2 linked regions of the Sus scrofa genome follow. The protein of the gene in region 1 interacts with the protein of each later gene in a biochemical or structural test. Links are inferred from orthologs where the notes say so. Each region holds a gene or a part of one and is shown in the gene's direction. Other genes may lie near its edges. The genes, in order: ITPR1 and CABP1.

What was found.
Region 2: the proteins of ITPR1 (region 1) and CABP1 form a complex in vitro, tested with the Homo sapiens proteins (2 studies listed by BioGRID). The link is inferred for Sus scrofa from reciprocal best matches to the Homo sapiens genes ITPR1 and CABP1.

Annotation. Positions count from the first base shown.
Region 1 is NC_010455.5:61,066,481-61,070,995, forward strand, and holds the start of ITPR1 (inositol 1,4,5-trisphosphate receptor type 1), read left to right. Parts: upstream 1-1,650; 5' UTR 1,651-1,903; intron 1,904-2,743; 5' UTR 2,744-2,819; intron 2,820-4,515. UniProt on the Homo sapiens protein: Inositol 1,4,5-trisphosphate-gated calcium channel that, upon inositol 1,4,5-trisphosphate binding, mediates calcium release from the endoplasmic reticulum (ER).
Region 2 is NC_010456.5:40,580,231-40,584,038, forward strand, and holds part of CABP1 (calcium-binding protein 1), read left to right. Parts: intron 1-272; coding exon 273-303; intron 304-562; coding exon 563-706; intron 707-3,336; coding exon 3,337-3,446; intron 3,447-3,680; coding exon 3,681-3,808. UniProt on the Homo sapiens protein: Modulates calcium-dependent activity of inositol 1,4,5-triphosphate receptors (ITPRs). Inhibits agonist-induced intracellular calcium signaling.

The DNA of each region.
Region 1 (4,515 bases):
TCAGTAATTATTATTAGATTTGGCATTATAATGTCAGAAATAATTATTTGCCATGGTGCTCCCCTAATTTGTTCCTGAAGTTCCACAACACTGTTGACTCTGTATCAAGTAATCCTGAGAGGAAGTTGGCAAATTGTGATGATTTTCTTCCTCTAAGATGGCAAAACTAGGGCAAAGAGATAAAGATGACTTGCCCAAGGGCTCAGAGGCTACTCCTAAAATGCGGAGGGAGGCTGTTTAAGGCAGTGGTGATGGATTTCCCCAAAGACAAGGACTTGGTACATTTATAGACTGGAATTGAAATCCAGGCTGCACTACTTAAATTATGGTGTCATCTTGGGAAGTTACCTGATTTCTTTGAGCCCTCGTTTGTCAAATAGGGATAATACATATGCCTACGGTTGTTAAAACTTAACAGCTTTAAGCATGAAAAGTGCATGTGGTCTGGACTCAATAAAATCTGCCTAATTATTATTACCATTGTTGTTGCAGCAGATCTATGCGGTGGCAAGCTGTGTCTGTTCGGAATTCTATGATGTGGTTTTGGCTCACTACCATGCCCCAGTGCCTGGCACCCAGTAGATTCTCAGGAAACGTTTCTGCAATGAACGCACATCGTCTGAGGCAGGGAGGGCATCTGGCAGACTTGGCCTCCGAACTTAGCTTCTGCCCTTCTTCCAAAAACCAGAGTCTGAAGCAGATTGTAACCCGGGACGTCCAGGCTCTCCTGAGCAGTGAGCTGAAACCCATCTTGCCCCCGAAGCCCCTGTGGGAGCTGCTGGAGGGCACCCCGCCTGAACGCGCATCTTTGTGTAAGCTACTCATTCCAAAGCCCTTGTTTTTCTGGTTTGCGGTTTATTTACTTAAGCATTTACAGCTCCCAGGAGCAGAGGGGCTGCTAGAAGCAGGGTCAGGACCGAGGTCGCGGTTTGTATTTATTTTCTGCTTCCCAATCCCAGCCCTGGCAAGTCAAAACTCGGTTCCTTTATTTGTACACCGAGAGGCTTAAGTTTCTATACCTCCTGCGGGGCGAGGAAAGACACATGCAGTTCGGGTTCAGGAAAGTGCTCTCTAGCCACTTGCCAGCGTCCCTGCTAGTGTTGCTCCCAGACTTAATTTTCTGTGCAAACCCGAACCGGGCGGAGCAGATTAAATAAAGACAACCTCGCGCCTTTAATCCTTGACCGCAAACACTGGCTTTTTCGTGCCCTGGATTTCTGAAATTCTTGGCTCTGGTACTCAAAGCGGGGGGAGGGTGGGTAACAGCTTGTAAAAACTTCCCAAAGCAGAAATCCGAGCTCCTCTCGCCCCTTGCTACCAGGGACACCTGGATTCTAGGGAAAGGGGACAGCCAAAGGAGGAGCGTCCCCAAGGGTTGGGGGCGCCCTCCAGGGGTAGTTTTGGGTCGCCGTCTCCAAGTCCAGCCAGCTCCCAGCACTGAACCGGGTTTGAAGCCTCGGCGCGGGGCAGGACGCCCCTCCCTGTCCCCGCGCGCGTCTATTTAGAGCTCAGCCCGGTAGCCCATGGGATTCTGGGACTTGTAGTTCGTCACCGCGGCCCCAGGCGCCGCCACGACCCTGGGCTCGGACTACATTGCCCAGGGAGCTTCCCGGCCTATATAAGCTGCCAGGAGCCGCTTCAAAGTGCAGTAACCATGTGGATGTGCTGCTGAAGCGTTTCCTCAAGCTTGCTGGGGTGGGAGGAGAGGAGGAGGAGGTGGTGGTGGTGGAGGAGGAGGCAGAGGGTGGAGAGAGAGAAAGCGCACGCCGAGAGGAGGTGTGGGTGTTCCGCTTCCATCCTAACGGAACGAGCTCCCTCTTCGCGGACATGGGATTACCCAGCAGCCGCTAACCCCTCTCCTCGCCCTGCTCCCCCAAACCGGCGTGGCTCCCCGGGCACCAAGGTAGAGGTTGGGGCCGGGCGGAGGGCGCGGGGAGTTGGTACTGTCCCCCCGGGCGCAGAAGTTTTTGCCTCGCTTTTTGGTAGTTCTTGGTGGATTTGCATGCACTTGCGTGCATTTGGGGGTTCTTTTACTGAGGACGTTTTGGGGGGGGGTTCATTTGAGGTTAAAAAAAAAATTCTCAACTCCATCGCCTGGCTTTGAGGACTACCCATTCTGGATTGGAATGGCATTCCCCCAAGTTGGAAACTGTTGCAGCAGCTGCAGGAAATAGTTTTTTTTTTTTTGGGGGGGGGGGCGTGGGGATGTCCTCTGTGAGTCCGCTCAAGGAAATAATCTTTCTTAAAATGTAGCCCTCCCTCGTGCTGCATGGTTGGGAGAATAATGCATTTGGGGGTCCCGGTGAAGAGGGTTTTAAAAAACGGAAGAAAACCCGAGGAGCGGTGAAGGACCAAGTGTGGACGAAGCTCACGCCCGATGAGGATGCGGGCTTCAGATACTTGGCCTTCGCTCCGGGAAACAAGTGCTTTGGGATCTGCCAAACACTTCCCTTAGTCTCAGATCTTCCCGGCACACTGGAAGTTTGTGCGTTCCTAGTCTCACTTATCAGTTACATATTAGAAACAAATAGGCGAAGTTACCTGTAACCTTCACCTCTTGATCCCACCAACACACCCGTCAAATTTGGCGGTGGCGGTGGCCCTGTGTGTGTGTATGTAGGTGGGAGGGGGTTTGTCCCTCCAGGAAAGAGCCTAAAGAAAGTGGAAGTGTGGAATTTGAGAATTTCTATTAGGGACTCATCATCAGCCAATCTTATATTCAGTCTTCTTTCTTAATATGCAGGAGCTGACTACAGAGGAACAGGACTCGCACCCCTGGCTGGGCGTGTTTTGGCAACAGAGTGCCTGACCTGGGTCAGGTAAGTGTGGAAGCCTTAGAGCTGTAGTCCATAATAAGTTTTTGTCCTAGCCTATTTTAAGTTCTCTCTAAAGAGCCATGGAGAAGGGGAGCAGGAAAGAAAGGGAAATTCCATGGCTCAGTCTCCAAAATTTGTCACCACCTTGGATGAGGGCTTTAGGGAGCTGATGATAACCAGGGGATGGTCCTGCCTAGGGCTTTTGGTCCTGGCTCAGAAGTGAAGCAGCCAGGTTTCTGACAGGAGGGAAGAAAAACCCTCACAACAACATTAAATGGAGCAGTACAAGGGATGCCCATTGGTGACCTGAGAACTGAACTTGCCAGGTGGTGTGCTGAAGATTTAAATTCTGAAGGATGCAGTGCATTTCATCTGCCAAGATATGTAAGCAAAAATTATCTGCCTGCCTCTTTCAAAAATAGTCACTTTCTTTTTTCTTACTGTGAATGGGTGTTTAATCAGGGTCGGTTTGCTTGCAAGAAATGAAAGTGGTTGCTGGCCAATTGAAAGAATTAGAACTTTAAAAAGGGAAGTTCTTGAAGCATAAGATAGTAGCCTCCAGCCCTTGACTTGAAGCCACTTGAATGTCAAGGAATCTGGTGGATCGCTATGGTTTAGATGCCTGTCCTGGGTTATTAGCTGAGAGCTGTTTATTTGTAAACAGAAGCAGCTCCTATGCCTTCCTCCCCCAGATGTTCAGACTGCAGTTGAATAGAGGGAGATTTTAACTGGTGCACATACATCCCCGTTGCTGCAGAATTGAGCATCAAAAGTTTTTTCTTCTGAAACGGTCAGGAACAGGATCAACAGATCCTTTGGGGGACTGGGTCTTCATGATCGCTTCTAAATATTTAGCTGTTCCCTGGGCTACAATCTTTGGGCTTTGCTAATTAGAAAAGTCAGACACTTCATTATAGTAGTACTGTGCTTTTGTTTCCTGTTGATAAGATCCTCAGGAGTGCTGGTGGAGTGGGAAGCATTTGGATGTGTGAGGTCTACTTCCTTCTTGGAGTTCTCCTGAATCGCATGGCTACGTGGGCACTCATAAGGCCAAGGCTTGGGGTTAGTTCTCCTCTTCAGAGTAAGCTGCAGTCCGGGGAAAGTGGTCCACTAACTCTTCTATGACTGGTTGCTAAAAATAATAATAATAATACAATTAAGTACTTATAAGCCAGGTCCCGTGTCAGACATCACAGAAACCCTGTTGAATCAGGTCCAGGTGAAGAAGCTGAAGTTTGGAGAGTGAAAACACTTGCCTGTTAGTTAGCACACAGCACAGGAGGGGGAACACCAGGCTGTGGGACTCCACTGTTTCCCACCAGTGCACCTAAGGTGGGGGAGAATGAGGAAAAAAAACCAGGAAAAATGGTAAATTTATTGCTGTGGATGATATAACTCTTGCTTGTGTCCCACCATTGAGCAAAGTTACCCTGATGTAAGAGGAAAACGATGCAGCCACAGATGTAGGAATAAAAAGACTGTGGTTATCTGAGGAGGTCTTAGGGGTGGTACCGAATTCATTTTGGAATGCTATGTGCTGAAAGCCTGCAAGAGGAGAGGAAAAGAAACCAAGCCAAACAACAAGGAACAATGGCTAAGGTCTGCATTAGGTTTATCCCATACCTGAGATCCATCTTGATCATCTACATCAAGATATCTGAGCAGGTTAAATGGATCAGGTGTTTCTCCATCTGAATAA
Region 2 (3,808 bases), on another chromosome or scaffold:
TCCCTGACACATTCTTGTGTCTGGAATAAGGAGCTGGGGGCGCAGAGGTTCTGTGCCCAGGCTGGATGGGGCTCCTGGCTCCCTGCACATGTCCCACGTCTGTGAGACATGCGGAGTTGCACCTTTTCCCTCCAGGACGTGGTCTGGGCACGCCTCGGCTGCTGCCCACCACCTCCCACCAGGCACCTGCTGCCACTCGGCCAGCCCCCAGCTGGGCATCATAAGACTTGAGCTCCTCACAGCTGCTAACAGAACATGTTCTTTTGTTTCAGGACAGATCGCTGCGACCAGAGGAGATTGAAGGTAAGACCCATGTCCTCAGGGGAGAGGGTTGCTCAGCCATCCAGGAAGATGAGGGGAGGGAAGAGAGGCAGAGACATCTCGGCCTCTGGAGAATGGGGCCTGGTACAGAGCTGGGCATCCTCTGCTCAGCCAGGTGCTGGAGGAAGGCATGGTTCTGGGCAGCTCCAGGGTCTGACTGCCCAAATCAGTGGGGGCTGCCATAGCCCCAGCAGGGCCAGAGGTCCCGCCCCAGCCCGTCCAGCTTGCTTCTCTTCCCCAGAGCTCCGGGAGGCCTTCAAGGAATTTGACAAGGACAAGGATGGCTACATCAACTGCCGGGACCTGGGCAACTGCATGCGCACTATGGGCTACATGCCCACTGAGATGGAGCTCATTGAGCTGTCCCAGCAGATCAACATGAACCGTGAGTCCTTCCCTGGCACTCCCCGCCTCCCTCCACCTGTCCTTGTCCATGCTGTCTTCTGCCTGGGTTCCAGTCCTGGGCCCACCTCTTCCTAGCTCTGCGACCTGGGGAAAATCACTTACCTTCTCTGTGCCTTATTTTCCTCACCTGTGAAATGAGGGGTGGGATGGGGGAGTAGAGCACAGGAAGTCAATTAGGGGGAATATTTAGTCACTTTTTTTTCTTGGTGTATTTATTCATTTATTTATTTTTTTGGTAACAGCTTTATTCATATACCATACAATTTACTCACTTGAACCATACATGCCAGTCAGTGGCTTTTAGTGTATTCAGAGTTGCGCAACTATCTCCACAATCAATTTTAGAAAATTTTCATTTCCTCCCAAAGAAACTCTGTATCACTTTGCCATCACCCCCAAGCCCCTCCCTAGCCCTAGGTAGCCAGTAATCCACTTTTTGTCTATAGAGATTTGCCTCTTTAGGGAATTTCTTTCTTTTTTAAATTGAAGTGTAGTTGACTTACAATATTATATTAGTTTCAGGTGTACAATATAGTGATTATTTTTTTTGAGGGGGCACTGCGTCCACGGCATATGGAAGTTCCCAGGCTAGGGGTCAAATCAGAACTACAACTGCCAGCATACACCACAGCCATAGCAACTCCGGGTCTGAGCCATGTCTGCGACCTACACCACAGCTCACAGCAATGCCAGATCCTTAACACTGAATGAGGCCAGGGATCAAACCTGCATCCTCATGGATACTAGTTGTATTCATTTTCGCTGGGCCACAACAGGAACTCCCCCAAATTTTTATAGATTATATTCTATAGTTATTGTGGGAGTTCCCACTGTGATGCAATGGATTAAGAATCTGACTGCAGTGGCTCAGGTTGCAGCAGAGGCATGGGTTTGAGCCCCAGCCCAGTGCAATGAGTTAAAGGATCCAACTGTGGCTTGGACTCAATCCCTGGCCCAGGAAATTCCATGTGCCATGGGAGTGGCCATAAAATAAAATGAAATAAAGTTATTGTAAAATATTAGAGTTCCTTGATGGTCTAGTGGTTAAGGATCCAATATTGTCACTGCTCTGGCACAAGTTCCATCCCTGGCCTGGGAACTTCTGCATGCCATGGGCATAGCCAAAAAATAAATAAAGTTATTGTAAAATATTGGCTACATTCTCTATGCTGTACAATATATCCTTGTAGGAGTTCCCATCGTGGCTCAGTGGTTAACGAATCTGACTAGGAACCCATGAGGTTGCGGGTTCGATCCCTGGCCTTGCTCAGTGGGTTGAGGATCCAGCATTGCCATGAGCTGTGGTGTAGGTCGAAGATGCGGCTCAGATTCCGAGTTGCTGTGGCTCTGGCATAGGCCGGTGGCTACAGCTCCGATTCGACCCCTAGCCTGGGAACCTCCATATGCCACGGGAGTGGCCCAAGAAATGGCAAAAAGACCAAAAAAAAAAAAAAAGTCCTGTTATGATCATTATACAACTACAGATATGATAAGTTCATTTGAGTAATAAAAAAAATGAAAAAAAAAAGTCCTTGTAGCCTTTTTTTTTTTTTTTTTTTTTTTTATTTTCCCACTGTACAGCAAGGGGGTCAGGTTATCCTTAGATGTATACATTGCAGTTACAGTTTTTTCCCCCACCCTTTCTTCTGTTGCGACATGAGTATCTAGACATAGTTCTCAATGCTATTAAGCAGGATCTCCTTGTAAATCTATTCTAGGTTGTGTCTGATAAGGCTTTTTTATTTTATACATAGTTACTACCTCTTAATCCCCTGCCCCATCTTTCCCCACCCCCACCCCTCTCCCCACTGGTGACCACTAGTTTGTTTTCTGTATCTGTGAGTCTGTTTCTCTTTAGGAGACATACCTAAAACGGGCCCAATATTTGGCACACAGCAAGAGGTGAACAGAGATGCTATTTTTATTATCTTTGTCTCCATTTGGGTTCTCCCAGAAGCAGACCTGGAGACAAGGGTTTGAGTGTGAGTAGTTTATTCGGTAGGGGAAGCACAGCGTCGGCAGGGAGTAGGGAAGCGAGAGGTCAAAGGAGCCATGGAGGGAACGACAACCACGTGGGTGACAGAGTCTAGTTCTGCTAGGGGCTCAGGGAGCTGGTGTAGCAGGCCCACCTCAGAGTTCCCATAACCCTCACCTTGCAGGCTGGGTATTTATCCCCCAAATTCAGTTGCTGGCTGAAAGTGCTGTGAGCAGGCCCTAGGGGCAGCTCCATTGAGAGCCAGTTGGAAGGTGAGTTCTATTTGCATAAGGGGAAGGCAAGGTGCGTGAGGGGCCCAGAACTTCTGTTTCTCTCTGCCTTTCTGCATATGTCTCTCTCCTTCTCTGAAATTCTTTGCCCGTCTCTGTGACCTAATGTTTCTTTCTCCCATCCATGTCTGTCCCTGTCCACTTCCTAATTTGTTCCCTTCGTCAGCCCCTGGTCATTCTCTGATAAACCCCACCCCCATCTATGGTCATCTCTCTGGCCTCATTTGGCCTTTGCTTATACACTGGCGCTGGGCAGGTCAAGGAGGGGATGGCAGTTCCCCCAGTTGCCTAGTTGGAAATGGGCAATGGTCAGATGGATGACCCAGCCCTTTTCTCTGTCCCCAGTGGGTGGCCATGTAGATTTTGATGACTTTGTGGAGCTAATGGGACCTAAACTCCTGGCGGAGACGGCAGATATGATTGGAGTAAAAGAGCTGCGAGATGCTTTCCGAGAGGTGAGTGACGGGCAGTGGAGAGGCAGGGGGCAGGGAGTTCACTTGAATTCCAACCCAGGATGGCTATCTGAATAGAAACCTGAGTTCTGGATCCCAGACTAGGGGAAGGAGCTGGGACAGAGAAGGGCTCTGGGGAAGGGGGGCAGTGATGCTGGAGAAGGGGCTCAACCTTGGGATCTGCTTCTGACAGGGTCCATGTTCTAGCTACCTCTCCCCCCCTCCTCCCTTCTCTAGTTTGACACCAATGGTGATGGGGAGATAAGCACCAGTGAGTTACGAGAGGCCATGAGGAAGCTCCTGGGTCATCAGGTGGGACACCGAGACATAGAGGAAATCATCCGAGACGTGGACCTCAATGGGGA